Linked DNA regions of Rattus norvegicus. The protein of the gene in region 1 binds, or shares a complex with, the protein of each later gene. Links are inferred from orthologs where the notes say so. Each region holds a gene or a part of one and is shown in the gene's direction. Other genes may lie near its edges. The genes, in order: Timm10b, Timm10, Agk and Timm22.

What was found.
Region 2: the proteins of Timm10b (region 1) and Timm10 are in contact, whole or in part, in a cryo-EM structure (PDB 7CGP), measured with the Homo sapiens proteins. The link is inferred for Rattus norvegicus from reciprocal best matches to the Homo sapiens genes TIMM10B and TIMM10. Residues at the interface, in NP_036324.1 of Homo sapiens: Gln7, Leu11, Leu14, Arg15, Phe17, Leu18, Leu19, Tyr21, Asn22, Arg23, Met24, Thr25, Glu26, Cys28, Phe29, Val33, Pro34, Ser35, Leu36, His37, His38, Arg39, Leu41, Glu46, Leu49, His50, Ala53, Gly54, Ile57, His61; in NP_036588.1 of Homo sapiens: Ala6, Leu9, Leu13, Glu16, Met17, Asp20, Met21, Arg24, Ala28, Lys32, Cys50, Asp52, Arg53, Cys54, Ser56, Lys57, Tyr58, Asp60, Ile61, His62, Glu63, Arg64, Met65, Gly66, Lys68, Leu69, Leu72, Asp76.
Region 3: Timm10b (region 1) and Agk share a complex: the UniProt entries of both Homo sapiens proteins name them as parts of the TIM22 complex. The link is inferred for Rattus norvegicus from reciprocal best matches to the Homo sapiens genes TIMM10B and AGK.
Region 4: Timm10b (region 1) and Timm22 share a complex: the UniProt entries of both Homo sapiens proteins name them as parts of the TIM22 complex. The link is inferred for Rattus norvegicus from reciprocal best matches to the Homo sapiens genes TIMM10B and TIMM22.

Annotation. Positions count from the first base shown.
Region 1 is NC_086019.1:169,389,362-169,395,901, forward strand, and holds Timm10b (mitochondrial import inner membrane translocase subunit Tim10 B), read left to right. Parts: upstream 1-2,993; 5' UTR 2,994-3,014; coding exon 3,015-3,044; intron 3,045-3,186; coding exon 3,187-3,282; intron 3,283-3,451; coding exon 3,452-3,628; 3' UTR 3,629-4,295; downstream 4,296-6,540. Other genes in the region: Arfip2 (arfaptin-2), read right to left, coding at 307-528, 700-818, 1,495-1,591, 1,806-1,904. UniProt on the Homo sapiens protein: Component of the TIM22 complex, a complex that mediates the import and insertion of multi-pass transmembrane proteins into the mitochondrial inner membrane.
Region 2 is NC_086021.1:90,311,782-90,319,472, forward strand, and holds Timm10 (mitochondrial import inner membrane translocase subunit Tim10), read left to right. Parts: upstream 1-3,357; 5' UTR 3,358-3,922; coding exon 3,923-3,993; intron 3,994-6,409; coding exon 6,410-6,611; 3' UTR 6,612-6,832; downstream 6,833-7,691.
Region 3 is NC_086022.1:70,125,300-70,132,398, forward strand, and holds part of Agk (acylglycerol kinase, mitochondrial), read left to right. Parts: intron 1-1,380; coding exon 1,381-1,473; intron 1,474-3,125; coding exon 3,126-3,158; intron 3,159-4,980; coding exon 4,981-5,075; intron 5,076-7,099. UniProt on the Homo sapiens protein: Lipid kinase that can phosphorylate both monoacylglycerol and diacylglycerol to form lysophosphatidic acid (LPA) and phosphatidic acid (PA), respectively. Does not phosphorylate sphingosine. Phosphorylates ceramide.
Region 4 is NC_086028.1:61,747,991-61,755,722, forward strand, and holds the start of Timm22 (mitochondrial import inner membrane translocase subunit Tim22), read left to right. Parts: upstream 1-3,695; 5' UTR 3,696-3,707; coding exon 3,708-3,939; intron 3,940-6,244; coding exon 6,245-6,441; intron 6,442-7,539; coding exon 7,540-7,612; intron 7,613-7,732. UniProt on the Homo sapiens protein: Essential core component of the TIM22 complex, a complex that mediates the import and insertion of multi-pass transmembrane proteins into the mitochondrial inner membrane. In the TIM22 complex, it constitutes the voltage-activated and signal-gated channel.

The DNA of each region.
Region 1 (6,540 bases):
ACAGAGAAAGCTAGTGCAGCAGGCAGGGAGGGGGTCTGATTAGGCCAAGCACCAAAGGCATTCTGGATGACATGGAGACAGGTTACTTGTGGTGCGCCCTCTCCCACAACCCCTCCAACTTTTGGACCTCAGTACAAACCCTTAGGCTGCCTCCATAGGTGAGTGATGCTGGGGGCAGGACTGGGCGTACCCCAGAGGGGTTCTCCCTGGGGGCTGCAGGAGGGAGGGAGGGAGGGAGGCTGAGGGATGCCTGCCTGGAAGGACCAGGGCCCAGTACCCCCACCCTCTCTGTTTTGGCTGAGGCACCTGAAGCTCTGGGGACTTCTGGCTGAGGTCAGCAAAGGCATCACCTAGTGCATGCTGGGTCTGCAACAGGCTGTAGAGGTGGGCTGTCAGTGCCCGGCCCAGCTGCAGGACACTTTCATACTTGCGCTTCGTCTCACGCAGCAACTCAATCTGCAGCTCTAGCTCCAGATCCACAGTCCGGGAGCCTCGGCCAAATCTCTCTGATAACAGCTGCTTTGTGCACTGATTGGAATGGGGGTGGGGGGATGGAGGTCAGAAATCTAAACTCCACCCCACAAGGAACTACTCCAGCACCCCCATTCTCTTAGTCATAGCAAAGACTGTAGATTAAGACCCAGGGAAAGGGAAAAGGGCCCCATGGAGAGTTTCTGAGAAGAGGTGCTTGAATCTTACCTTATATGTGTTGATGCCCCATTTCTTGACAATGTCAAACTTTTCTCCAGCGATGCCTCGGGCCACCTCATCACCAGGGCCAGAAGGTGAGGTGCTGTGAGACGGATGGCGGCCAGACCCTAAAGGACCAAGTTCTCTGACACTAGTTTCTCTTAGATATAACCAGACACTTCTGTGGCCCACTTCCCTTCCAGCACATGAAATGACCTTGCTGAAGAAGGAAAATCTAGACAGACAACTGCATTCTTCTGCTTACTAGGGGGAACAAGGACTTGTGTCCTGACCACCAAACCAACTCAATGCATGTATCTGGCATTCTTGGGATAGGGTAAGAGTGTTGTTAGTGTACTCAAGAAGAAAGAATAGAAGCTATCGTGATATGTGTGATTGGCAGGATCAAAGATGGTGGGCACAGAAAACAAGGAAGTTGGCTGATATTTCTAGGTAGAATTCTAGTCAGTGTAACAGTCTAAAATGAAAGTCTGAGAAGCCTCACAAAGCTCCAACTTGGCCTTAAGCTCCTGAGTGCTCATAACCTCAAGGTCTTAACTTGGCTCAGGTGGTGGCGGCAGGGAGGAAAAGACAAATGAGATTATCTTAGAGACTAAGTGGCAGGGGGGAAGCAGATGGGCAACTCTGGAGCTGGTCTGGGACTGAACAGGCTATGAACTTCACACTAGCAGTTCTGAAGCTCTTCAGTCACGAGTCAAGCTTTACTGTATGTGTCCTATGTGCCGGCAAGCTGCCTTAACAGCCCCCATCCCCACCCCTCAAGCCTGTCTCTATCACTCATACCTGTGGGGATGAGTCCGTCACCAGAGCCCCCATAGCCACCAGACACAATGCTAGTTTCATTGAGGTTGGGTCCTGACACCATCACCTGCTGGAGGTCCTATAGGTCAGAGAAGAGGGGGCACCTCAGGAACACAGGGATAGATGAAACATTTGGGGATGGAGGCAGTGCACATAAAGTTTATACAGAACCATAAAGATTTGAAAACTAGGAAGGAGTTTAGTTAACTGAAGGCTATTGGGATGGGGGAAAGTAAAAGGTTTATAAGTCAGGACTGCATAATGAGACAATTAGAAGAATCAAACAGAAGCACCTGCTCCAGCCCATCGTCTTCAGGAAGCTGCCCAGCCTCGCCATTTCCGTGGATGGGAATCTCCATTGTGGCTGCCTTCCCTAGAATCCCGTCCGTCATGGCTAGGGAAGGGACAGGAGTCAAGGTCTCCACCCCAGCACGCTGTAAAGCCCAACAAGACAATTCTGGAAACTAGCCAGCACTCCAGAATAAGGAGGCCTCCCCTGTGTTCTCAGAGGTTTCAGGGATTGTCTTAGGGCTTGGGTGTCCTGGGATCAGCCACCACGTCTTTCCTTGAGTATGTGTATCCATTCTCTTCTGAGTACATTATTTCTACAAATGCATGCATACCAAAGCCTCTGGTGTCTTCTCGTAACCCCCAACCTCGCCTTTAGTAACCATTCATGCATTCAGTCATTCAACAAACATTTGGTGAGTTTCTACTATGTGTGAGATACCGAGGCAATGGAATTGCAGCAGTGAGGACCAGAGGGAAGGTCTATGCTCTCTGGGAACTTAACCCTGCATAAGCATGTTTACCAAAACTCTTTCCTAGGCTCAGACGTTCACTTGCCACTCAGGCATGCTCTGCGATCCTGATCTTTCACATCCTTTGGTGTTCCTTCCCCTCTTCCTTCAGATGGTCTGGTCTCTTCCTTTCTCCATCTCATGCACCTGACTCCCTCAGGCCCTCCCCACCAGGCCTTAGTTGAAGCAGTTAGTGAATGTTCCTGGTGTCAGGACACCAGGACACAGGCAATCCCTTCCAAAGTCAGTTGAAGCCTTCCAGATGTGAGAGGCACCCCCCACCCCCATACACCTGGGCATCAGGTGTGTCCTCATCCTTGCCAAGGGCTCAGGGCATGTTGCCCTCAGTACAGGTTCGTGCGTTCAACTTCCCTTCGTCCAAGTACGTCCTTCTCACCTGGGCCGGGCCGCTCTTCCCCTCAGGGCGCGAGGCCCGGACCGCGCGGGGACCTCGGGTTCCAGTTCCCGTCGCGATCCTAGCAGCAGGTCAGAGATTTGGCGGAAGTGACATGCTCTCTGGGCAGAAGAAGCCGGCCACGTCGCAGAGAAAAAGGGCGGAGGTGACGTTTACAGTTGTGGGCAGGGCGAGCCTGGAGCTACGCCTTCAAGCTCTTGGGGGAGTACCGAGAGTTTACTTCCGGGGCGACTCCGAGAGCCACCCCCTCCGGACGGAAGTGGCGTACGCCATGCGCCCTGGGCGTGATGGAGCACCAGCAGCAGCAACTGAGAAACGTGAGTGAGAGCTAAGTTGCTCTCTGGGTTAGACGCGCAGTTTGTTTCCAGGGGTACACGCAAGAACCCCCAGAGGGGGAGGCGGGCTGCGCGCCCCAGGAAGCCTCGGCGGTGGTGAAGTCTTGGTTCCTTTTTCTCTCAGTTGCGAGACTTTCTGTTGGTCTACAATCGGATGACAGAACTGTGCTTCCAGCGCTGTGTGCCCAGCCTGCACCACCGAGCTCTGGACGCTGAGGAGGTGGAGACTGTGGGGGGTCCCAGAGTTGACAATAACGTGATGTGACTTACCCCCTCCCCCCACTTCCCCTCTCTTTCATGACCTCATTCCTAGGCTGGGGACCGGGAAGGATGGAGGAGGGCTTGACAGGACCCCTTTTAGTTTCTACTTCCATCTGTCTTCCTTCCAGGAGGCCTGCCTGCACAGCTGTGCTGGGAAGCTCATCCATTCTAACCACCGCCTCATGGCCGCTTACGTGCACCTCATGCCCGCCCTGGTCCAGCGCCGCATGGCGGACTACGAGGCTGCCTCTGCCGTGCCAGGTGTTCCTGCAGAACAGCCCAGAGACTCGCCATCAGGCAGCTAGCTAGCTGTCCCTGACCGCAGGAGAGAAGGTGCTTGGATAGGCTCCTCTATGGACCTTGGGCTTGTCTAAATATGTACAGAGAGACTGAGCTTGAAAGCTGGGTGCTCTTGCTCCTTTTCTTGGAGCCAATAAACCCGTTTTTGTATTCTGGTTAATTTACTTGGCAAGAACTTTTCTTTATTGGTACCATCCTTTATTCTGTCATCTACTGCCTGTCTAGTGCCTTTAGCCTTGGCAGTTGATGTATTACCTTCTTGTATGTAGAAGGACAAATTTAGCATTCCCAGCACCCCAGCAAAAGCAAGGATTATGGCTACAGTTTGAAGGTTGGTAATAACAATGGGAAATTGGTTCCAAAAGGAGAGTTCTCTGTGCCTGTCCTAGGGTCTAACTCAAGTACCTGAATATACATTGGCTCTTAACTAGTTTTTATTCTCAGCTGTCAGACAAAAGAATTGCTGTAGATCTAGGGGAAGAAGGTAATATCAAACAACAAAAGCAGGAAGAAAACAGTGCCCCCTTAGGTTTTAGTCACTGCTTCCTAGGAGATCAGTGACAACAGAACAAAGACAAGCCTCTAAGAATTTAGGAATGTTGACCATTTCCCCAATTTACTCTCTTAGTATTTCCTGCTTTTGTGAAATTAGAAATAAAGACTTTAAACAAAGAAGGACTTTCTTGTCTTCAGTCAGTCAGGAAGACAACATTAGTCAAACCTCAAGAGAAACCTGAGGGAAAGGGAGATGGTATTAGGGAGAGATGGTTAAATACCATCTGTGACCCTCCACCCGGTGCTTCCTCAGTGTTTCACTGCCTGTCTAGTCCCCTAGTTTCAGTTCTCTACCTTCCAGTACTCTAACTACCCTGTTGCCAGCTTCTCTATTCTTGTTTCATTATTCCCCCACCCCCTTTTGTGGGATTCACGTCTATACTCCGGAGGAGTCCTTTCCTGGCAGCTGCCATTTCCATGACTTCACTCCTAATGTGGAGATGGGGAAAGGAAGGAGGATATGGCATGCACCACCACATGGGGCTTCTGGGGCTTCGAGGATAATACAGCCTGCAGGGCAACAGCATGGGGTCTGCACCTATTACTGTTTCCCAGAAGATTAGACTCAGGCACTTGTGCTTGCCTGGTGTGAACTCTAAACAACTAAGCTACCCACTTCCCCTTCACTGCTTCCTGAAATCCCATCCCATCCCCTCCACCATTGCAACAGGTGGCCAGCTTTCATTTTTTTTTTTTTTTTTACAAAGGAATCAAATTCACAGTGAAAACCAACCATTCACAGAGCAGATTCTCTGCCCTCCCCCCACCTACAGGTCAGAAATTTGCGTTTATTTATTTATTTATTTTATTTATTTACTTTGAGTTATGGTCTCATGTACCCAAGACTGACCTGGAAATGGTAACTAAAAATGACCTTGAACTCCTGATCCTCCTGTCTCTACCTCCCAATTGTTGGCCAGCCAAAAAATTGAAAATCCCAGCTGACTCCATATTGAAAGGCTAATCATGTTCCAAGGCTTGTTATATGTGCCTGCAGTCATAGCACTAACAGGCCAAGCATTGTGAGTTTGAAAGCGTTCTGCGCTGTTATATCAAGACTCTTATCAATAAAGTGAGCTGGGACATCAAGCCTGATAGTCTTTGCACTACAGCAGACTACTCTAAATGATGTCTGTTGAGTTGTTTTGTATAAATTTATCATACTCTTTTTAATTGCAAAACTAGGAGGTATTTTTCATTAGACAGGTAAAGAAGCACGAAAACAGGAGGGCCCTGTCTTAAACAGTTCTTGAAAAGCAGATTCTGGCGTGTCACAACTTTTTTCTTTTCTTTCTTTTCTTTTCTTTTTTTTTTTTTTTTCTTTTTTTTTTCTTTTCCTTTTAGGTGGTTTTGCTGTGGGCACATTGGTCTTCAATACGATCCTCCTGTCTCAGCCTCCCAGGTACTGGAATTACAGACATGGGCTACAACTGGTTGCTAGATAATTCTTTAGGAATATAAAAATTGCTGACCAGAAGCTTCCCTACAGAGTGACCTGTGTACATGATTAATTTCACTCCTTGACAAGTACAAACGTGAGTAGAGCAGCTTGTGAACTTAATTCCCCAAACCAGGAAGGTGGAGACCCAGGATATTGTGTGACTGCTGAGAGAGCTCTACATCAGCATCTGTATGTATCCCTTCAATAAACATGTGCTGTGAGTTGTCTGTGTTTCCTCTCTTCCCATGTCACACATAATTAGTAATTGCTGGAAAAAGACTAGGAAACATATGTGCCTAAAGCCCGCTCTGAACTATCTGAACTGTTTTGTTTTGTTTGTCTCATTTTGTTTTGAGGTGGTCTCACTATGCAGTCTCACACCTTGGATTCAAATTCGCTGGCTTTTACTTCCAAGTGCTGAGGTTACACCTATGCCACGCCCACTCAGTCTAGAGAGTTCTTACATCCAGCATTATCTGCACTTTGCCTTCAATGCAAAAGCAAATGTGCCTTGATCTGGCTTGTTGGTCCTTTTTCTTCTTTCAGTCTCCAGTTTCTTCCCTTTCTGTGGTTGCTAATCATTTTCAGGTCTTGTCATAAAGTGATAACCATTGGCATAGTAAGAGCAGGGCAGTGTTCTCAAGCACAGCATATAGAAATTTTTTGTTTTGTTTTTGAGACAGTTTCTCTGTAACTTTGGCTGTCCTGAAACTCAACTCTAGATCAGGCTGGCCTTGAGCTCACAGAGATCCCCCTGCCTCAACCTCCTGAGTAATCACCACCTGGCAGGCATACTTTTGTTGGTTGTTTGGTTGGGTTTTGTGGTGGTGATGGTGATGGTGTTTGTGGTTTTGTTGGTTTTGTTGGTTTTGTTTTTGAGGGAGAGGGTTTCAGGAAGTCGAATTCAGGTTTTTGGACATG
Region 2 (7,691 bases), on another chromosome or scaffold:
TGAGGGACCAGAGATTAGCAATTTGGGATGATGCCTGGATTCCAGTGATAGCCTCAGAAAGGGAAATTACTAAGGTACTTTTTTTTTTTACAAGAAACCATGGACAATTGGTAAGCCTTATTTGTAGAACCAAAAGTACTAACTATAGAATGTGAAAATCGCTTTTATTTCCTTTGATGAGAGCTGTACCCAAGCTGTGCAAATACAGGCTTAGACTGAGCCCTGACCATTTCTTACTCTGTTCTAACTATCCCTAGGCCTAGGCCTGGAAGCTTCTAGTCTCCATAAATCCAATCTTCCAAGCTGACTGATTCACTCTGGCTTCTCTTGACTTCCAACTGAATTGCTCTGCCTGGCCTCTCACTAACATGGGCAATATGTTCAATTGTTTTGGTTTCTTCTCATGTTCTGGCTCATGTGTCTTCACCTGTGTCTAGATTGTTCTCTCTGAGGCCTGTCTCTGTAAAAGTGTCCCAGTAAAACTGCCATTCATACACACCACACCACCTTTTCTCTCTCCTACTTTAAAAAAAAAGATTTATTTATTTTGTGTTTGTGAGTACACTGTAGCTGTCTTCAGACACACAAAAAGAGGGCATCAGATTCCATTGCAGATGGTTGTGAGGCACCATGTGGTTACTGGGAATTGAACTCAGAACCTCTGGAAGAGCAACCAATGCTCTTAACCTCTGAGCCATCTCTCAAGCCCCCTTTTTCCTACTCTTAAGTAGCCTCTTTCTCTCTGTGCTATTCTCAGGAGAGTTGGCTATATCCTATCTCTGACTCATTTAGCCAGATCTTTCTCTGAGCCATCACTTTGTCCCTCAATTAGACATCACTTTCAAACATGTCTGCTTTCTTCGGCAAACTAACTTTACTTTCATTGTTTGGGATTAAAGGTATGTTTGGGACTAAGGGAATGTTAAAGGTATGTCACTCCAGTCAGATCACAGAGACTTGGAAGGTCTTTGATAGGATCTCCTGCCAAAGCAACCATGTTGCTGGGTTAAAATTCTTCTACAGTAAAAGAAAGACAGGGCCACATAGCAATAATAACGGTAGCACCATTGTCAGCAAAAGCAATGATTTTCCAGGGTCTGAAGGGAGGGGAAGTAGGAAGTTGTTCAGTGTGTGTAGTTTTAGTTATGCAAGATAAAGGTCTTCTAGAGGTCTTCTGTGCAATACAGTGCATATAGAGAATAACACTATCGAGTACAAGTAGAGTGTCTTTTGTTAAATGTTCTAAGTACAGTAAAAAGATCCTTCTGAGAAGTTGGGGAAAATACTTGCAATAGGGCTGGGAAAATGGCTCAGGTGGCGAAAGAGCTTTCTTTGTGGTAGTAAGGTCCTGATTTGAGATCCCTAGAACAAATCTAACGTCAGACATGGTGGGATGGGTCCACAATTCCAAGACCCTATGGTGAGATGGGAGGCAGAGACAGGAGCATCTCTGAAAGCTTTCAGGCCAGCTAGGCTGGTATAGGCAGCAGCAAACACTAGATCTTGTTTAAACATGGTTAAAGTTAAGGATGGAAACCTGAGGTTGTCCTCTGACCTCCAAGCACACAATTCATTCTCTCACACACAAACATAAAAAGATAAATAAATTTTAAGTTGTCAATAGATTACATTAGGAAATAAGTGGGCTGGTGAGATGGCTTGCTGATATAGGTGATTACCCCCAAGCCTGACAGCTTGGGTTTGATTACTCTGAACTCCCATGATGGAAGGAGAGAATCAGCTTCTACCAGTTGTCCTTTGACCTCCACAAGCCCTTCGATTCCACCATGGGTGCATGTTCTTATAAATAAATTTAAATTTAAAAATAGTATGTCAAATGAACTGTATAGTTCAGTTATTGAGTGTTTGCTTACAATTCCTTCAGCACCGTGGAAGAGAGATGAAAAAAATCACTATTAGCTGAGAATGTGAAAATAGCACTTTGGAAAAAAGACTTCATCTGCTAAAGACAAGAATAGATCAAGAAAATGCGACTAAATATCAAGAATTATTAAATTGGGGCTGGAGAGATGGCTCAGTGGTTGAGAGTATTGACTGCTCTTCCAGAGGTCCTGAGTTCAAATCCCAGCAACCACATGGTGGCTCACAACCATCTGTAATGGGATCTGATGCCCTCTTCTGATGTATCTGAAGACAGCAACAGTGTACTTATAATAAATAAATAAATCTTTAAAAAAATATTAAATCTTGGTGTTCCTCATCATTTCTCCTTGCTTTCACTGATGACTCTCTGGCCCAGATCATCTCACACTGTACCAAATCACCAATGAAGTTCATTAGACTGTGTTCTCTGTGTGTTGCAGATTTGCCCTAATAAAAATAGTTTTAAAGGATAAAGCCGCAAGGCCCTGGGTTCGGTCCCCAGCGCCGAAAAAAAGAACCAAAAAAGGAGATAAAGCCAAGGGGTTGGGGATTTAGCTCAGTTAGGTAGAGTGCTTGCCTAGAAAAAAAAAAAAAAAAGAAAGAAAGAAAGAAAGAAAAAGAGAAGGATAAAGCCAATAATTCTTATTGTTACATTTATTTTTTTATTTATTGTGCATGTGTATGGCTATGATAAAGAAGTGCAGTAAAACATGCTGCAGCGCTGGGGCAGTTGGTAGAGCGCTTGCCTGTAGCATGTGGTCCTACTTCCATCCCAGCACTGCAAAGTTCAGGCATAACGGCGCTCATCTGTAACCGCAGCCCTAGTGAGGTTGAGGCAGGAAATAAGTTCTAGGTCATCTTCGGCTACACCGCAAATTAGAGAGCCTGGGTTCCATGAGACCCTATCTCAAAAGCAAGCACAGAAGACCTCTATACATGTTTCCTTTTTCTGCGAGCAGCGATTTTGTATCCTTCTTTCTGCAACCCCACCAGTTAACGCAGTTTGTTCATTTACTAAAGTCTGGGTCCTACTCCCTGGGACTCTGATTTCACGAGTATGAGGTAACGTCTGGGCGTTGAGGTTTTTAAAAAAGTGCTCCAGGTGGTTTTAACATGCAAAACTGACAGGCTCCTTTGGGAAACGTTCTCCCTTCTTCACAAAAGATCCGTCTGCGCTCAGGCGTGGGCTCTCCATGGTAGGCTCAGGGAGCCAAGCCTTTTCCACACTCCAAACACTCAGAAGTCTCCCGGACAACCAGAGGGATGGAACGCTAACAAGGCTGTCGGCGCTCTGCCATTGACTCCGCACTCTATGATACTTTGGAGTCCACTCTAGCAAATTGAAGTAGGTTTCTCTTCAGCCAGTGGCTCCTCTCTATGGTAGCCGGTTTCCCAGAGCCGCCTGGTTTGCGTTTTCTTCCGGATCAAAGAAGAGGTTAGACTTCCTTCCGGAAGTGACCCACGTGCTTCTTATTTCGCCTATCTTGGTACCCGGTTAACTTTTTACTATTGACCCGAAGTTGGGGGCGTTGCGGGAGCTGTGACCTACCCCAGGCCGTGGTGAGTGAGCCATGGTATCTGATCCCCAGGCTGACCCTGATTATGCCATTGCCATGACAGAGGCGCAGCCTTTAGACCGGCCCTGGGAACCTATGTTGTGGTTAGGGTCACATTCTCGGGGCTGCGTGGGTTCAGGCCCAGGGTTTTGTGTGCTCTGCCCCTAATGTCGGTCCTCTGGCTAGGAGTGATTTCGAGATACTGAGAGCTCTCGGTTTCCAGCTCCGAGCCCCATGACATCTTGAGTGACCTTGAACTGGACACTGTCCCCTTTAAGGGCCTCATTTCCACTTCTGGTAAGAGGGCTGACTACGTTTTCTTAGGGTACTGGTCCCTGCTGGTCTGAAACGCTGTAACCCCTCGCGCCCTCCAGCCCCTGGGTGGGTATTAGAGTGAATGTGGAGGGGTCGGTGCTGACTTATCATGTACGCTCCCAGGACTAAAGACCAGGAGGCTATTTTCTCCACGGTGCTAAGTTGACATGGATCCGCTCAGAGCCCAGCAACTGGCAGCGGAGCTGGAGGTGGAGATGATGGCCGACATGTACAACAGGTAAAGAGAACCACTCCGATTCACCTTGTCCAGAAAACTAGCCCTCGTCACCCCTACCGCGATAGAGTGAAGGACTTGTAAGGAATGCTTTCCCTAAGGTAGTAGAGCCAAGTCCCAACCTCCTAATCCCGTCCCACCATTACTGCGGGCTTGGCTGAAGTAAAGACAGGTCACTGGAAGGACTTGGTTGGCTATTTAGAGGGAGTAAAAGGGGTGTGAAGGAAAGTCTCCTGCTCAGGCTCTGCTGAGTATCAAGTACAAGTAAGCACTGCCTTTTCTTTCTTTTCTTTTCTTTTCTTTTTTTTGGAGCTGGGGACCGAACCCAGGGCCTTGTGCTTGCTAGGCAAGCGCTCTACCACTGAGCTAAATCTCCAACCCCTCTTTTATTTTCTAATAGCCCATTTTATTACCTTTGCTTCTGTATTTTGTGTTTATTTATGAATGCCAACATGCATGCTATAGCAGCTCACATGTGGAGGTCAAAGGACAACTTACTAGGATTCCATCTTGGATTGAACTCAGATCTTCTGGTTTGGCAGCAAGGGCCTTTGCCTCCTGAGCCATCTGAACAGTCATTTAGTAGTTAATAGTATTTAGTAGCTAGTACTTATTAATTTTTTTCTTCCTTTTTGGGGGAGAGGTGGGGTGAGCGTTTTTGTTCTTGTTTTTCAAGATAGGGCGTCTCCGTGTTGCCCTGGTTGTTGGCTTGATCTGTATAGAGCAGGTTGGTCTCACTCCCAGAGATCTGTCTCTGTCTCTTGGGTGCTGGGATTAAAAGTGTGTGCACTTGATCCTTATTAAACTTTATCTCTGTGTTAGGCACTTGCAAAGCATTTTATATACATTGTCACTTTAAAATTTTTTTTTTTTTTGGTTCTTTTTTTCGGAGCTGGGGACCGAACCCAAGGCCTTGTGCTTCCTAGGCAAGCGCTCTACCACTGAGCTAAATCCCCAACCCCCACTTTAAATTTTTTTAATTTATTTGTTTTATATGTATGTATGTTTTGCTTGCATGTGTATATACATGTGCATCACATGCCCTCAGAGGCCAGTAGAGGGCATCATATCTCCTGGAACTGGAGTCAAAGATAGTTGTGAGCTGCCATGTGGGTGCTGGGAACCAAACCCAGGTCCTCTGCAAAACAGTAAGTTCTCTTAACTACTTTCCAGACCCCCATTGTCATTTTTGTAAATACTTAAAAATAATTCAAAGGGAGAATGGGGTGGAACATAGGATGTTTGTCTAGAATGTAGGAAGCCCTTGGTTTGATCTCGGCATGGTGGGTGCCTATACTCAGAGATGGAGGCCAAAGCCAAATAGTTGAATGAATGAATGAATGAAAGAAAGAAAGAAAGAAAGAAAGAGAGAAAGAAAGAAAGAGAGAGAGAGAGAGAGAAAGAGAGAAAGAGAGGAAGGAAGGAAGGAAGGAAGGAAGGAAGGAAGGAAGGAAAGAAGAGCAGTGGGTTAATTTTATTAGTACCATTTTAACATAGGGGAATTGAGGTATTAAGGGGTTTACTAATCTCAGGTTTTGTAGCTGGTCAGCAACAATGTCAGGCCAGAACTTGAGGCTGACTTCACAACTACTGCTTGTAGCTGTTAGGCCAATTTGGAAGCATCCTGGTATGCCAGTCACTGCTGAATGTCTCATAATTGCTTATCTCATCAGTAAAACTGGCATAAGAGGTGCTATGCCATACAGACATTACAGTATTATACTTTATCATCTAGCATATCATACAGGAAACAGCAGGTATCTGCTGGTTTTTGTCAGCAGCTCTTTTCATTGATTGGTTTGTTTTTGAGACTATAAATTAGAATGGTTTTTAAAATGCAGACTGTGCAGTCAGACTACCTAGCTTTGTGTGATATTTAGCAAATTACTGAGCTGTGTCTTAATTTCCTCATCTGTAAAGTGGGGATAATGATTGTGCCTACCCCACTGGGCTACTGTGAGGGTTGCCTAACAGAGTCTGTATTAGCCCTTAGCATGATGGCTGGCACACAGCCAGTATTCAGCAAGTGCTTCTGCTTTAACTAGTCTTGTACATGACTCAGAGAAGATTCTTATTGGAAGAACCTTCCAAACTGGTTGAAGAAAAGTTTCTTTTCTTTTTTTAGGTTTATTTATTTAATATATACACTGTAGCTTTCTTCAGACACACGAGACACAGGAGAAGAAGGCATCAGCTCTCATTACAGATGGCTGTGAGCCACCATGTGGTTGCTGGGATTTGAACTCAGGACCTCTGGAAGAGCAGTCAGTGCTCTAACCGCTGAGCCGTCTCTCCAGCCCTCTACTGTTTTCTTGAGGGAGGAACCAGACAAGAATCAGTCCAGCAGGGTTGGAATTGTTGAAGGTTCCCGGGATGCTGTAGGAAGTTACTGATACAACCTTGTTCTTCTCTAACCCAGAATGACCAGTGCCTGCCACCGGAAGTGCGTGCCTCCCCACTACAAGGAGGCAGAGCTGTCCAAAGGCGAGTCTGTGTGTCTGGACCGATGCGTATCCAAGTACTTGGACATCCATGAGAGGATGGGAAAAAAGTTGACAGAGTTGTCTATGCAGGATGAAGAGCTGATGAAGCGGGTACAGCAGAGCTCTGGGCCTGCATGAGGCCCCGGGCCATGTACACCCGTGGTGCACCTTGCCACCTCTGATTAAAGTGTCCCTAATGGATGTCACATGTGAAAACTGTCATACTTAGGCCCTTGAGCATCTCCAGGACCCCTGCGTGTGGTAGAGCTCTCCTGGCTAAGGAAGGGGACTTGTCATGCTGGTTTGTGACTGTGAATGTGTGTATATGTATATATCATATTAAAACAAATTTGTGCAAAGCAGTGTCTTTGTTTGAGAGTAAAGAGTCAGAGCATCCAACAGTAGAGGGATTTAATGCAGTGGGTCTTTACTTTAGTGGGGTTGGGTTGCTTTGTTTTGTTGTGTTTTGTTTTTAAAAACAGGATGTCACTCTGTAGACCAGACTACCCTCAGACTCACAGAGATCCATTCACAGAGATCCATCTGCTTCTGCCTCTCAAACGCTGGGATTACACGTGCGTACCTTACTACAGTGCTTTAAGACTATAGACTAGTGGGACCACAGGGTTTGGGCTTAAGAGTCTGATGCTTACTGTGTGGCCCTGACTGTGCTACATCTCTGTGATGTACTAGAGTGACTTGGGTATAGGAGGTATTAAGTGTCCTTTAAAGCTTGATAGTAAGTGGAGGCAAACAGGCCATTTCTACACATATCAAAGAAAAGCTATTTAGAGGACGTGACAGTGGATAGGGTTTTGCTAGCAAGTAGCCATTCTGCTCTAGATGTTACCTAGATAGCTATATTACTGTCAAGATGGGAGGCGGTTCAGCCATCTTGGAAAGTGAGCTAGGTAGGGGCCTGAGTGATGACTTCACCACATGTGTTTACCTGATTCAGGCTGTTTTTCAGTCACTTTCCAGTGTATGAGAGAGTCCACCCACCCAGACTAAAGGTCTAATTAGGAAACAGGTTCAGAGTGGCAGCTGCTTACAGGTCACACAGTATAGTAGTGGGAAGGTCCGCCCCACTGCTGTCTGAAGAAGGCCCTTAGACTGCAGCTTTCAGAATATGTGGGTTATTCTAGAAGGCACTTTGTTAATACTGAAGCCACTGGCAGAACTGTACATTCAAAGTAGGCTTTCTCTGTAGAGGTGTTT
Region 3 (7,099 bases), on another chromosome or scaffold:
ATATTCAGATAATAGGTATTATATTAAAGGAAGATTTAATTATTAGTAGAAATATTAATGTTTCTCCTTACATTCAATTGAGACTATTGGTCTCTGAAAGGTTGATTTCCTGTCTTTTCTGTTAAATTTTATTTGGAAGTAATTTTAAATTTTCAAAAAAGTTAATATATGTATAAATATATTTATTTACTTCCCCCTTGTTAACATTTTTACTCTTTTTACACATAATTTCTCTTTGCCTAAGTGTGTATAATATATACAGGAATTCCTGTATATATTATAGATGAAATCGTTGAGCCCTGATGTATGAACTCACCCTTAGGCTCCTCTCCTTTCCCTGGAGGTTAGGGTATGGAACTCAAGATTCTATTCTGTAAGGGATCTGTTGGCCTCTCTGGCCACCAGTTCTTATCCAGGGTCCTTCCAGAGTTACCAGTACATACTCTGTGAGGGTTTTCCTGTGAGTAACAAAATAACTTCTGTGGATTTTTAGAGTTCTATGCTGGGAACAGGGCACAAAGAGCTGGTATTTCAAATTGTACTAAAGGTGTTTTAGCCCATCTGATATATAAGTATTTAGTTTTTGCCTAATAATGTGTCTACTGTATTTCAAAGTGGAGGTAGTGTTCTGTTGCACTGGCTTTATGCCCTTTAAGGTTTGCATTTGTCTTCAGCCAATGGTGGCTGAAATGTAGTTCAAACGTTCAATAAAATAGGAAGCTTGGAGTGCTCTTCAAACACACCTGCATTTTTTTTTCTGTGCCATCATAGCAAAACAATAATAATCATCAGTTGCAAACACTTTTCTAGCTGTTTTAAATTCTGCTGTGTAACAATAGTACAGGAAAGATAATTGTCCCTCTCTTGATACATGAAAATTCATTGATAAGGAAATTAAAATCAAGTGAGTTTAAGCTACTCCGTTAAAAAGTAGCAGAGCTGAGGTTTACTGTAGGTCTCTGGGGCTCTGAAATCTGTTCTCCTTCTCATTATATCTACTTCCCTATTTGCATATGCACTTGACTTCCTGCCTTCAGATGAAAAACAGAGTGTAAACAGTGTAATGGAAGCCACACTGGACTGGAAACGAATCCTCTGACTGGCTAACTATACAACTGAGGCAAATTATTGGGCTTGATTTTATTTTTAGAATAAGCAGCCTTTTTAGAATGATATTTTCTGAAGGCATTTCTGTCTTAGGAAGTATAAAATTATATAAAAAATTCCATACCTAATTGCTTTCATAGCATTTTCATGTCTTTCAACCATGCAAAACTAAGGGAGCAATATAAGACTTTAAAGAACATTTTTCATCCTGTAACATGTGTCACATGTGATCTTACAATGACAAATTTACCAAAGCCGTCTTTGATATTCCAGACAGATTATGAGGGACAAGCCAAGAAGCTCTTGGAGTTGATGGAAACGACCGATGTGATCATTGTTGCTGGAGGAGATGGCACCCTGCAGGAGGTAGGGTCCTTCTTCCCCATGGAGGGCCATCATTAGGGGGAAATTAGGTTCTTGGACAATGGCAACAATAATTAAGGAAATTGCCATAATTCATTATTTTAGGGCTATTGCTCTCAAACTTATATAGCCCTAAGCTTTCTCCTGTACTTTCCTTCCATGTTTTTGGTAAATCTTCCTTCCAGCTCAAGGAAGGGTTTATATGTAAGCAAGTCTGTCTGAGAAATTAAATAAAACAAGCAAGACTCTATAATCAATTACTTAAGATGAAGTGGGAAGATCTTGAGTTCCAGTTAGTCTTGGGTTACATAGCAAGATTAGATCTCAGATACTGAATAAAACAGGAGGCAAATGTGTATGGATGGGCCAAGCTTGTTACACTGTGCATGCTGTTACACAGCAGGTCTGCGATGACACCACAGCTTCACCACAAGGACAAGTCCTCATCAAATGAAGTTTTCTCTCAAGAAAACACGTTTATGGGCACTCACATCATTTCTGTTGTATAGAAAGTGAACTCTTAAGATTGCATTTGTAAAAAGAGACGATGCTTGTTCAGATGTATGTTTGCCTTCTTCTCTGCTGCTCTTTCTAAGGTCAGTTGTTTGGCAATTAGTGCTACAGAACAAGCCTCTGTATGCTGGGCAAGAACTCTACCACTGGCTACGCCCCTAGCCCTGTCTTTGTCCTAATAGTAATACCACTTATCGCAGTACTGCATTACTGTTGGCTTTGACCTCTCGTTGGTAGCTTCATCAGTGTGAGGGACCAGAAATGAACAGCAGAAAAGCTGTCCTAAGTTTGACTTGGCATTTATATGAGCCGTAGTAAGTTTCTTTTTTTACAAAGGCTCTGCTAATGGTCTCATAATTGTCTTTATAGCTTGTTAATGAAATGTGAAGAGTTCTGATTGTCTACCGACAAAGAATGAAGTAGATCATTGACAGCCCTTTTAATACTCAAACCCAATGAGGCAGGACAAGGTAAAGGGAGGAGATATGTCAACCTTTATTTTTACAAAATGTTTTAAAGGAAAGACAGTGAATTGTATATTTGGGGTATATGCAGTCATTAAAAGACATTTTGCTAGAGAAATGATTGTTTTTTTTTATGACAGTTCATACCTACAATCCTAAGGAAGCTGAAGCAGGAGGAATACTGTGAGTTCCAGGCCAACCTAGTCTACCTAATGATAGTGAATAGAATAAAACAGTTAATGCTAGTTGTCTAGCCCCTTTGTTTCCGTAGCCCTCAGGAAGAAGCACTTGAGTACTTCTGAGCATGCTAAGCCATCCTGTCCTCTCTGTACTGCAGAAGGCTAACAGAGGCTTTTCTGTATAACTGAAAAGAGTTCATATTTCTCTAGAACCTACAACACATAAACATTAGTATACTTATGTTTTGTAGACCTTGAAATATAATTTTACTAATGTATGTGGAATTTTTATAATTTATCTTAGTCTGTATTTTTCCAGGTTAAGAATAAAATCTAATTTAGCACTGATCATTTTGACAATATGATGTGTTTTTAAGATCTAATACATTATTTAATATAGTTTCTAGAAGAAAATAAATAAGTTTATGGTCCATGAAATTTTATCCTAATTTTGTTTTGATAAGGAAAATACATGTTTTTATATTTTTTACATTCATAGGTTGTTACTGGAGTACTTAGAAGAACAGATGAGGTGAGCTTGTAAAAATATGTTAAGCTTCTACTTGCTCTCATTCTTTTGTCTTTCCCCCATGTGATGCATACATTCATATTATATTTATAGTTATGTATGTATACATATATACATTCATACATACATGCATGCATGCATGCATGCATACATACAAACATATTCTGTACTAAGGGTTGAACCCATGGCTTTGGATGTCTAAGTGAGCGTGCACCACTGACTTACACCTCCAGCCCTTTGTCCATTTAACTTTTATTTTGAGACAGGGTCCTGATAAGTTGCCCAGACTAGTCTTTAATTAGTGATTCTCCTGCCTCAGTCTCTAAAATCTGTGGGATTCCAGGCATAGACCATCATACTCAAATCCTGTGTTATATTTTCAACCCAGTGGAATTGTGAGAGGATTGGGTTTTGATCAGATGGTGCAATACTTCTTCCTCTGTCATAAGTTACTCTCAGGAACCCATGATAGACTTCCTGTGTTGGTAATTCAGGTACCCTGTACCTTCTAACACAGCTAGTGTGCTATATAAAAATTTTCTATAGAATCTTTTGTTCATGGAATTCTTTTATAAATTAATAGTGATATGTTCATATAATAGGAGCCAGGTAGCAATTAAGTGGATGGACTAGGCTTATTTAGTTAAGAGCAAACATGAGAACCTGAGTTTGATCCCAGGGTCCATGGAAAATCAACTGAGTATAGTTAGTGGTGCTACTAGTAATTCTGGTGCTGGCTGGCCAGTTTCAAGACATATGGGAGACCTTATCTAAAAACAATTATGGACGGTGTGTATAGACAGGAAGCTGCCCTCTGGCCTCTTTGTGTACCCTCAACACACACACACACACACACACACACACACACACACACACACACACACACTCATTCTTTCCCCCCACATACAAATGTGTAATGTATATCATACACAAGAATGAAGTAGATCTATAAATATCTACATCTTTAGATCTTAGAAATGTTAAATACAAATAAGTTTAGAATTTAGAAAACAGTATTGTTACTATATGTTATTTGATAAGTAAGTCTGTAGTAATAAAAAATAATGCAAAAGAGTCGTGCCAACCTAGCATAATGGTTTCCTCTAGGAGGGTTCAGGAGAACAGAACTTTATCTGTCTCTACCTAATTATTTTAATTTTGAGATCCAGTTTATTTCTGAAGACATCAGAAGCAACATGGCAAATGTTCTTAAATCTGGGTTGTGGACTTATGTAAGATCTCATTCATTTTCCTGCCACAGTTTAAAATATTTTGGTAAAACAATAAGAGATTATCTTCAAAATAGTCTTTTAAGAATCTTCAAGTAATGGCTATATATGTGACATTTAGTTAAATCACTTGCTGTGTCATTAACTGGCCATCATTTGACTTCCTCTATTTGAAGTAGAAAGCTTGTCAAACACTGTCACCTGCCATTGGTCACTGTAGGATTAGTAGGTATTTTTAGTTGAATTTTGTTTCTGTATTTCCCAGCAGGTGGGATAGCTTAGTACAGTCTCTCACACTGTTTCATTGATCCAGTTGTTGTAAGATTATCATTATTTTAACCCAGTTTCATACAAATAATTGTAGTTACTGAGTACTCAAATATATCTTCTAAGTTCTGAGTCACTGTGTTGTCATTGACTGCTTTGTCTCAGAAACTGCTCATGTTGGGGTATTTGCTTACTGCCTAGAGATGGGAACTGGAGATGAGATGGGAGACATAGTCAGTTACTTTGTTCTAGAGGATTCTCATGTGCCTCCCTTTAAACCTAATCTTCAGACTGTAATAACACAACTTTGTCTTCTTTTATTCTACCAGGCTACCTTCAGTAAGATTCCAATTGGATTTATCCCGCTGGGACAGACCAGTAGTTTGAGTCACACCCTCTTTGCTGAAAGTGGAAACAAAGTCCAGTAGGTTGTCAATGTGGCATGCTAACATCTGTGTGTGATAGAGCCTGGGCCTGAAAATTAACATACACGATAACATCGACTTTTCAAATATTGATAGGTTGAAATGTCAAGGTATTGATGGGAGCACCTAGCCTTTCAGAGATTGGCACGCTCCCAGTTGAGGTGTGGTACCCTCCTAATCTAGTAATTACTACGTCCTGATGTCAGGGATGGAGATGGGCTCTTTCTGTCATTGCAGTTTTTCTGCCTTTGCACGGTAAGACCCTTTCATGAGGGTGAGGGCAGATTTACTCTGATCATTTCCTTTAAGTACCCATGGTGACAAATAGCACGTCTCTCGGGATACTAAATTGCAGGTAGCAGTGGCCTCAATATCTCGGTGATAGAAGCAGGTAAAACAACTAAATATAGGCACATCCTTGTGACTGCCTGATGTGGCTGGGAGTATGGATATAGTAGATGGGAAAGGGGGGAAGTCCTGACATCTAAGTTACATTGCTGTGAGTCTAACACTGTCCTCAGGACTCAGGAAGATTGAAAGCTTTATAGAACAAAGACCAAATCTTTGGAAAAGGTAGTGATCTTGAATTTAAGGCCTGGTTTTCCTAGCAATTAATTAACATAATCTTGAGCAAATGGTTGTCAAAAGACCTGAAGTAAATGGAACAGTGTTGGAGAAATTGTTACACAGCGTGTAATGTAAGGCTTGTGATACAAGAAGCCGGAAGGTAAACATTTATTGAATGAGTGAATTAAAAATTTCTCAGAAGTTTTTCTTGTTATAACCTTCTAAGTCAATAGTAATAACATTCAGGGTACTTTTTAATTTGGGTTAATTTTTTTCCCCTGCATTGGAGTGCTTTCTTAGACTAGGTCTTGTAGACTGACTTTCCCTGTTGTAATTTTGAGGGCCAGCAATTGTATCTCTAACAACTTAATGCTGTTCAAAAAAGTATGGGTGCACACAGGAAAGCCCAGGCATGCATATATATATATATATATGTGTGTGTGCGTGTGTTCATCAGACCCTCATCCTAATGTCTCTCATGTATCACAGGATTCTCCAGCCATCCTGAGGCCTAGCAAGCAGGAGAAGCCACTGTAATGGGCCATACTTTTTAGTCACAGGTTAGAATTTTTGAGGGGCAATGGATGATGGATGACTGACTCAAGCATTTTTGCTGATCTGATATAAATTCTCTCCAGTTTAGGGCTTGACTATCTTAGGGAATTTGTCTTTCCCCTTGTATCAGTAGAGATTATTGAACTACTTTACCAGCATTTCCAAATGTCATGTCAGTGATCAGTAGATTATTTTCTTGTGGAAACCTCTCTTCACATGTGGCCACCCCCAGGATCTGAGACAGTGTTCTGCTTTTTAGGAGCTGTTTTTTTCTGTTTTAAAAACAGAAATTCTGTTATTGCTGCTTCCATTTATAATTTAAAGATTTATAAAAACCTAATCTCTAAGCATGCCCCAAGGCCCTTGGGTAATCAGAAACTCTGCCTTTGGCTCAGAATTTTGCAAACTTTTTAACATCTGCTGCCTGGGGCTATATAAAAAGAACAAAGCTTTGCCTTTGCCCTGCTGTGAAGATTTCTTGTAAAATAATTATTAAAGAAGAAAAAAAGTCTTTTTTTCCTGGAATGTGGAATGTCACAGGTAAATAATCCTAAACGCCAGGCGGCGGCAGTGCTTCCTTATTAGAACTGTGAGTTATTGTTAGGGAATGATAAGTTTGAGGTGCATTTTAGTTGTCTTCTCCCAAGCAATTTAGAGAAGCAATTTAATGCAAAAAGTCTTTTTGAATTGCAATAGGTTGAGTTGTTTTTTTAGGTCCCCAAAGCCAGTTTTCAAGTCTCTTGCCCTGTGCCAGGTGCTATTCAGATTACGTAAGTACAGTGAACACATCAACTGTGGTGCTCATAACTTGTACACACTCAGGACAATACAGCCTTGACTTGTGGGCATGCACCTTGCTTCCTCCAAGTAGAATCTTATTTTAAAAGAATTTGATGTCTAC
Region 4 (7,732 bases), on another chromosome or scaffold:
TCTCCCAGAGGACCCAGGTGCAATCTCCAGCACGTATATGGTGGCTCACAACTGTCTGTGACTCCATTTCCAAGGGATACCTGATGTTCTATTCTGGTCTCCTCAGATACCAGGCACACATGTGGTACACAGATATGCATGCAGGAAAAATACACATAAAATAACTTTTGAAAACTAAAGATCCATATATCAGCATGCTGGCACACACCTGTAATCCCAGCATTTAGGAGGATCCTCCAAAGCAGGGCATCCTGAGTTCAGGGCCAGTAACATCTTGTTCCAAAAACATTTTTTTTCAAGACAAAGAGTTTCTCTGTGTGGCCCTGGCTGTCCCAGAACTCAATTTATAGACCATGTTGGCCTTGAACTCACATGGATCCACTTGTCTCTGCTTTCTTTTTTTTTTTTGGTTCTTTTTTTCGGAGCTGGGGACCGAACCCAGGGCCTTGCGCTTCCTAGGTAAGCGCTCTACCACTGAGCTAAATCCCCAGCCCCTTGTCTCTGCTTTCTAAGCACTAGCATTAAAGGTATGCACCACCACATCCAACTTTTTTTTTTTTAGATTTGTTTGTTATATTTATATATACTGTGTACACTGTAGCTGTCTTCAGACACACCAGAAGAGGGCATCAGATCTCATTACTGATGGTTGTGAGCAACCATGTGGTTGCTGGGATTTGAACTCAGGACCTCTGGAAGAGCAGTCAGTGCTCTTAACCATTGAGCCATCTCTCCAACCCCTTAAAACTTTTTTAAATGATTCATATATCACAGTTCTTGGCTTTTAGGTATGCTAACACATGTGCATAGTGTGTGTGTGTGTGTGTGTGTGTGTGTGTGTGTGTGTGTGTGTGTGTAAATGGAAAAAACAGGAAAAGCCTACTTGTGTGTCAATGAGGATGATTAAATTATGGCACATCAATCACTTGATAACTTTGGTTATTGGAAAGAACTGACTTCTATAAGTCAGAACTAGAGAGGAGGAGGGAGATTGGCTTACTATTAGGAACTGACTCATCACAAAATCAGAGAAGTCTGTAGAAGATCTGCGCTAGACAGACGGAGACCAATCTAGCCAATGGTGTAAATTCCTCAGACTTCAAGTCTAAATATCAAAGAGGAACTTCCCTTTCTCTGCCTCTTTGTCGCATTCAGGCTTCCGAAGGAATGAATGAGATCCACTCACAGGGGGAGGCTACTAGCTTTAATCTGTCCACCAATCTAACTCAAATGTTAATCTGACCCAAGAGACCCTTCACAGCAATACCCAGAATCAAGCTGAACCAATGAGCTGAGATCTCCATGAACTACTCAAATGATTCATAAAATTAACCGTTGCGAGTCTGTCCTTTGTCACTGTGGCACCTGCATGTCTTCCTTACATCAGACTAAATCTTTGAATAAAGAGGGTAACAAACTCTTGAGTCTACTCGATGTGAACAACGCCCTCTTCTGACCTCCTCAGGCACCAGGCACACACATGGCCCACAGACATACATGTGGGCAAAACACATATAAAATAAAATAAATAGGGCTGGAGAGATGGCTCAGCGGTTAAGAGCACTGACTGCTCTTCCAGAGATCCTGAGTTCAATTCCCAGCAACCACATGGTGGCTCACGACCATCTGTAATGGGATCTGATACCCTCTTCTGGTGTGTCTGAACAGCTACAGTGTACTTATGTATAATAAATAAATAAATCTTTTTTAAAAATTGGAATCACGCTGGCTTGTTTTTTAAAAAGTCTTAAAATATTTTAATTTGGACCATCAGCATTCTGTTATGGAACGGAAGAGAATCTAAACAAGAAAAAAAAACACTTCATGTATTTGTTTGTTTTGAGATAAGGTTTGCTATGTCATCCTAGTTAGTCTGTAACTTGATAAGTAGACCAGGCTAACCTCTAACTAAGAGAGATCGATTAGCCAGCTTCTGCCTCCCAAGTGCTTGGATTAAGGGGTGTGTACCACATCCAGCGCTCTTTTCTGGCCTTCACAGACACCCACGCTTGCACACCCATGTGTGTGCACACACATACATAAAAAAAACAGGGGTTGGGGATTTGGCTCAGTGGTAGAGCGCTTGACTAGGAAGCGCAAGGTCCTGGGTTCGGTCCCCAGCCCCGGAAAAAAAAAAAAAAAAAAAACAAAACAAAACAAAAAACAACTCTCCGGCAATGTTGGCATATAGGAAATGTGATCCAGGAATATTGGACCACTCACCAGAAACAGGCTAGAATCTGAGGATCTGTCACTGAGCAGCCCAGAAAATCTTTTCTTCTCAATGAGGAAATCACAGATCCACTACTAAGGCCAGGATCAAAAAGAAGATGTAATAGGAGCAACATTTTCTAACACTTGGCCATTGACTGAGGTACAAGAATGGCATCTAGAAATAGGATGGTTGGTGATCAACGCCTTTGATCCCAGCACTCAGAGGCAAAGCAAGGCAGACCTCTGAGTTTGAGGCCAGCCCGGTCTACAGAGTGAGTTCCCCAAGAAGCCAGGGCTACACAGGGAACCCCTGCTTCAAACAAACAAACAAACAAACAAACAAACAAGGATGGCATCTAGAAAGAAATGAGTTTCAAAAAGTTCAAACTTAGCTCTCTAACACTAAAAACCACAAAGCATTAACGATTCCAAGTTGCCTGGTGTAGTGGCACACGCCTTCGATCCCAACACTCTGGAGGCAGGCAGATCTCTCCAAGTGCACCACCACACCCGGCAACTACCAGCCATGGGGTTTGACATCTTCCATTGTTACCATAGTCGTATGCCATTAGTACCCTATGCAATACTCTGTACTTGGTCTCTCTCTCTCTCTCTCTCTCTCTCCTCTCCTCTCCTCTCCTCTTCTCTTCTCTTCTCTTCTCTCTCTCTCTCTCTCTCTCTCTCTCTCTCTCTCTCTCTCTCTCTCTCTCTCTCTCTCTCTCTCTCTCTCTCTCTCCTTAATGGTTTCTCTGTGGAGCCCCAGCTGCCCTGGAACTCACTCTGTAGACTAGTAGGCTGGCTTCAAACTCAAGAGATCTGCCTGTCTGGGCTTTAAGGCGTGCTAGACCACCACTCACATTTGTTGGCCTTCTTTATTCTTCCTTAAAGGCTTAATAAATATGTAATAAAATGCTTTTTGAACACATTTATGTCATGTTTCAACACTTTCATACAAAGGGCGTACATTCGATCTCAGAATGTAAACCAGTCTGTGGTTCTAGTGACTGTAGTAGCTGGAGCTCTGCTTTATGGCCTGGCAACAAAGCGGACACGTGCGTCCCCTGCTGCAAGTTCGACGAACTGCAGCCTAACAGGATCCGACTTCTCTTCGGCCGCTTCTCAGACGAGCTTTCAAAGGAAGTAGCAAAGCCAGCGAGTGCGCACGGCTTTCTGGGAAATACAGTTGGACATTCGAATTAGAACTACAAATCCCGGCACGCACCGCAATGGAGCCCCTAGTTGAGGGGTGTTCTTGAGCTACTAAACCTTGTCAGAGTTTTTAGCAATGCCTTACAAACTTGGTTCACTGTTTAAAGAGGCGTTGAGGAAACGTGATAGCTTCCTCGACGCTGATGCAAAGGCTGACTCTTGCTTCTACAGCTTCCTCAGTGTGGCGAATCTGCCGTTGTCGTTAGGCTGGCCGGACTCCTCGGTTAGCATGTGGAATCGGCTGTGGGAAATACGACGTGAAAGGTACTAGAGCCCGTACAGTCATGGCGGCCGCCAAGGCTGGGGCTTCAGCTCCTGAGGCGGCGGGTTCCGCCGAAGCTCCGTTGCAGTACAGCCTTCTTCTTCAGCACCTGGTGGGCGACAAGCGTCAGCCACGGCTTCTGGAGCCTGGCAGTCTGGGCGGGATCCCGAGTCCTGCCAAGAGCGAGGAGCAGAAGATGATCGAGAGGGCGATGGAAAGTTGCGCCTTCAAGGCTGTGCTGGCCTGTGTGGGAGGTGAGGCGAGGCTTGTGGGACCCTTGGGAGGCTGAGGGCTTGGAGAACTTTAAGGTTCCTTGCTAAGACCACGCGCCTGGGAGGCGAGGAACCTGTGCATCTCGACCTTGATCGCTCCCGGGCTGGCTGACTCCTTGAACCCGGAGATGCCGCTCTTGACCCTGAGATTAACATTCACAGTCAGGGTCTGCAGGTTCCTAAATTGTTGCTTTCTTTTCTTCGTTTTATTCGTTCGTTCGTTCGTTCGTTCGTTCGTTCGTTCATTCATTAAGTTGTTACTATGTAACGGTCAGGTGCCCGGCAGAAGGAATATGGATGAAAGCGACAGGAGCCCTGAAGGAGAATATTAGGACGCAAAGAGAAGAATGCTGTAGAGTTGCAAATGCAAAGGTCCTCAAGGCAGGAGTTTGGAGTTTGGAAATTATTACTGGGTGATGGTGGCCCAAGCCTTTAACCCCAGCACTGGGAGTGGTGGTGGTGGGCAGAGACAGACAGACAGGGAGGACTACATAGAGACACCCTGTCTCAGAATTAAAAAAAAACAAAAACAAAAACAAAAACAAAAAACAGCGAAGGCCAGTGTGATTAGTCGGGGTGAGGCTGGGATGGATGTTAACAACACACACACACACACACACACACACACACACACACACACACATACACATATTAATCTTCCAGGGTTTGAGAATGTACAGCATACTTATAGTGTACAGGTAAAAAGGTTGTTTATTTGTAGATGAGTTTAAATTTCGTTAAGAATGAAGAACATTTTAAAAATACAGGAGTTCAAATCTTAAATAGTGGGGAGGAAGAGGCAGTCAGATCTCAAGAGTTCCAGGTCAGCCTAGTCTATAGAGTGAATTCCAGGAAAGTCAGGGCTACATAATAGAGAAACTGATTCTTTTTTTTTTTTTTAAGACTTATTTATTTGATGTATATGGATACACTGTAGTTGTCTTCAGACACACCAGAAGAGGGCATCAGATCTCATTATAGATGGTAGTGAGCCACCATGTGGTTGCTGGGAATTGAACTCAGGACCTCTGGAAGAACAGTCAGTGCTCTTAACCACTGAGCCATCTCTCCAGCCCTGAGAAACTAATTCAAAAACCAAAACAACCAGGCTGGAGAGATGACTCAGTGGTTAAGAGTATGGACTGCTCTTCCAAAGGTCTGAGTTCAACTCCCAGCAACCACAGGGTGTCTCACAACCATCTGTAATGGGATCTGATGCCCTCTTCTGGTGTGTCTGCTACAGTGTACTCATATACATAAAATAAATAAATAAATAAATATTTAAAAAATCAAAACAAACAAATAAGTAGAAAGAAGAGATAGAGTTTTGGAGCTGAAGTGATTAGAAAGCAAGACCAGGAGAGGAGGGGTCTAGCTTCATTGAGCTTACATTGATCTTGAGGTGATCATCTTGAAAAGACATCATACAGAAATGGCTGGGGAGAAAGCCCAGTTGGTAAAGTGCTTATCATGCAAACATGAAGGTCTGAGTTCAGAACCCAGCATCTATGTAAAAAAGCCAGGTATGGCTGGGTGAGGCTATGGGGCCTTTAAGCCCAGCACTGGAGAGGAAGAGGCAGGATAGCCAGGGCTGTTACACAGAGAGACCCTGTCTTAGAAAACAAACAAACAAACAACAACAACAAAAAGAAATTGGTGGGTAATTCCTGAGGAATGGCACCCACTCTGGCCTACACTCACAGACAAAAGAAGGCTCAGACAAGGCATTTGTTGACAGAAACATAGGATTCCATGTTTAATATTCATGTGACTCTGAAGACAGTTACTTAACCTCTCCAGGGTTTGGTTTAGAGAGGCAGGGTGGATGGTGGTTTCAGAACCTTTAATCCAAGCTCTTGGGAAGCAAAGGCAAATGAACCTCTGGAGTTGGAGCTTGCCTGTTCTACAGTGTCAGGTTCGAGGCCAGCGGGATTATGTAGTGAGGCCCTCAAACAGAAAAGCCAGGAAGGGGAGATAGTAACATCTACCTCACAAGTTACTATGAAAAATAAGGAATATTCCAGAGTAGCGGGGACATGATGCTTCCTTACTGAGTGACTGTATGAGTGTTGTTACAGGTCATATACAACGTTGGTAGCTGAAGAACAGGGTTAAAGCTGAAAGGCATAAATCCTAGAGGAGTTGTGGGGGTAGACTCCGACTGTACTGTGAGGAAAGCCGGATCAGGACCGAGTGCCAAGAGACCAGAAAGGCCATCTTCAGTTACCATCCCCAAATGGTAAACTAGAGAATGTGCAAAAGAACTCTTATCTCTGCTTACCTCTAGGATTTGTCTTGGGAGGCGCATTTGGTGTCTTTACTGCTGGCATTGATACCAACGTGGGCTTTGACCCCAAGGACCCTTACCGGACACCAACTGCAAGAGAAGTCCTGAAGGACATGGGACAGAGAGGAATGTCCTATGCCAAAAATTTTGCCATTGTGGGTGCCATGTTTTCCTGTACTGAGTGTCTGGTAGAGTCTGTAAGTGCCTCTTGCTTCTTAAGAAAGCTCTTCCTGTTGCCCTTGTACACTTTTTAATTATCTTTTTTTTTTTTAAATCATTTAAAAACGCTTGGGTGTGTGTGTGTGTGTGTGTGTGTGTGTGTGTGTGTGTGTGTGTGTGTGAATGTGAATGTGAATGTGAATGTTTTACCTGCTATGTATGTGCATCATGCGTGTACCTGGGGCCTGAGGATGCCAGAGGAGCGTATCTGGTCTCTTAGGACTGGAGTTACAGACAGTTGCTAGCTGCCATGTAAGTCTAGAGAATTGAACCAGGGTCTTTCTGGGAGAAAAGCCAGTGCTCTTAACTACCAAGCCATCTCTCCAGCCACACACCCTCCTTTTTTGAAACAGGGTCTTACAGTGTAACCCTGAATGGCTGGAACTCACTAGATCCTCCTGTCTATCTCCTGAGTGCAGGGATGGGATTAAAGGCACGTGCCAGCACACCCAGCCCATTGCACAGCTTTTAAAAAGAGCGGTGTTCGAGGTGTTCCTTCAGAATGCTATCAGAAATGTGGTCCATATTTGCAGCTTTAGCACTCAGGAACTGAAGCGGAGGATCATGAGATCTGGACCAGGCTGGGCTGGAAAGACCTTGCCTCAACACAAACATTTAAAAATGTCAATTTTAATCTAGATTGTTCATCCAAAAAATAGTCCCTAATGTGAACTTTTTACATATTATGTGGATTTTGCACATTTTTAAAAATCTTCTGTAGGCAAGTGGGTTTTTGTTTTGTTTATCTTATTTATTTGGTACTGGGGATTGAACTTAGGGCTTTATGTATACTAGGCAAGGGCTTGACCTGGACTACATCCCCAATTCAGGTCATTGTAATTAATAAAATTATCCTGGAGAATATACGGAAATTTTGCTTCCCAAATGCTAGACTTGACTTTAGCTCTCTGGTGCCACCTGCAGGAACCATGTATAAGCACATACAATTTAGGAACAGCCCTTTTGAAATAAAGGTTTGAGCAGGACTAAACTGGGCAGCTGGGAGCGCTGTGTTTTCTTCCTCGGCCTTGTCTGGCTCAGTCCCCTGGCTCTAAACAGCGTTTCTCCCCCCACAGTACCGGGGGAAGTCAGACTGGAAGAACAGCGTCATCAGCGGCTGCATCACTGGTGGAGCCATCGGCTTCAGAGGTCGGTAAACAGCTCTCGAGTGCTTTTCTTTTGTGGTCTGGGACAAAGTGGTGATGTTGACATTTCCCAACATGAATGTTCTAAGGATGCTTGATATTCCTTCCCTCTGACAAATCCCTG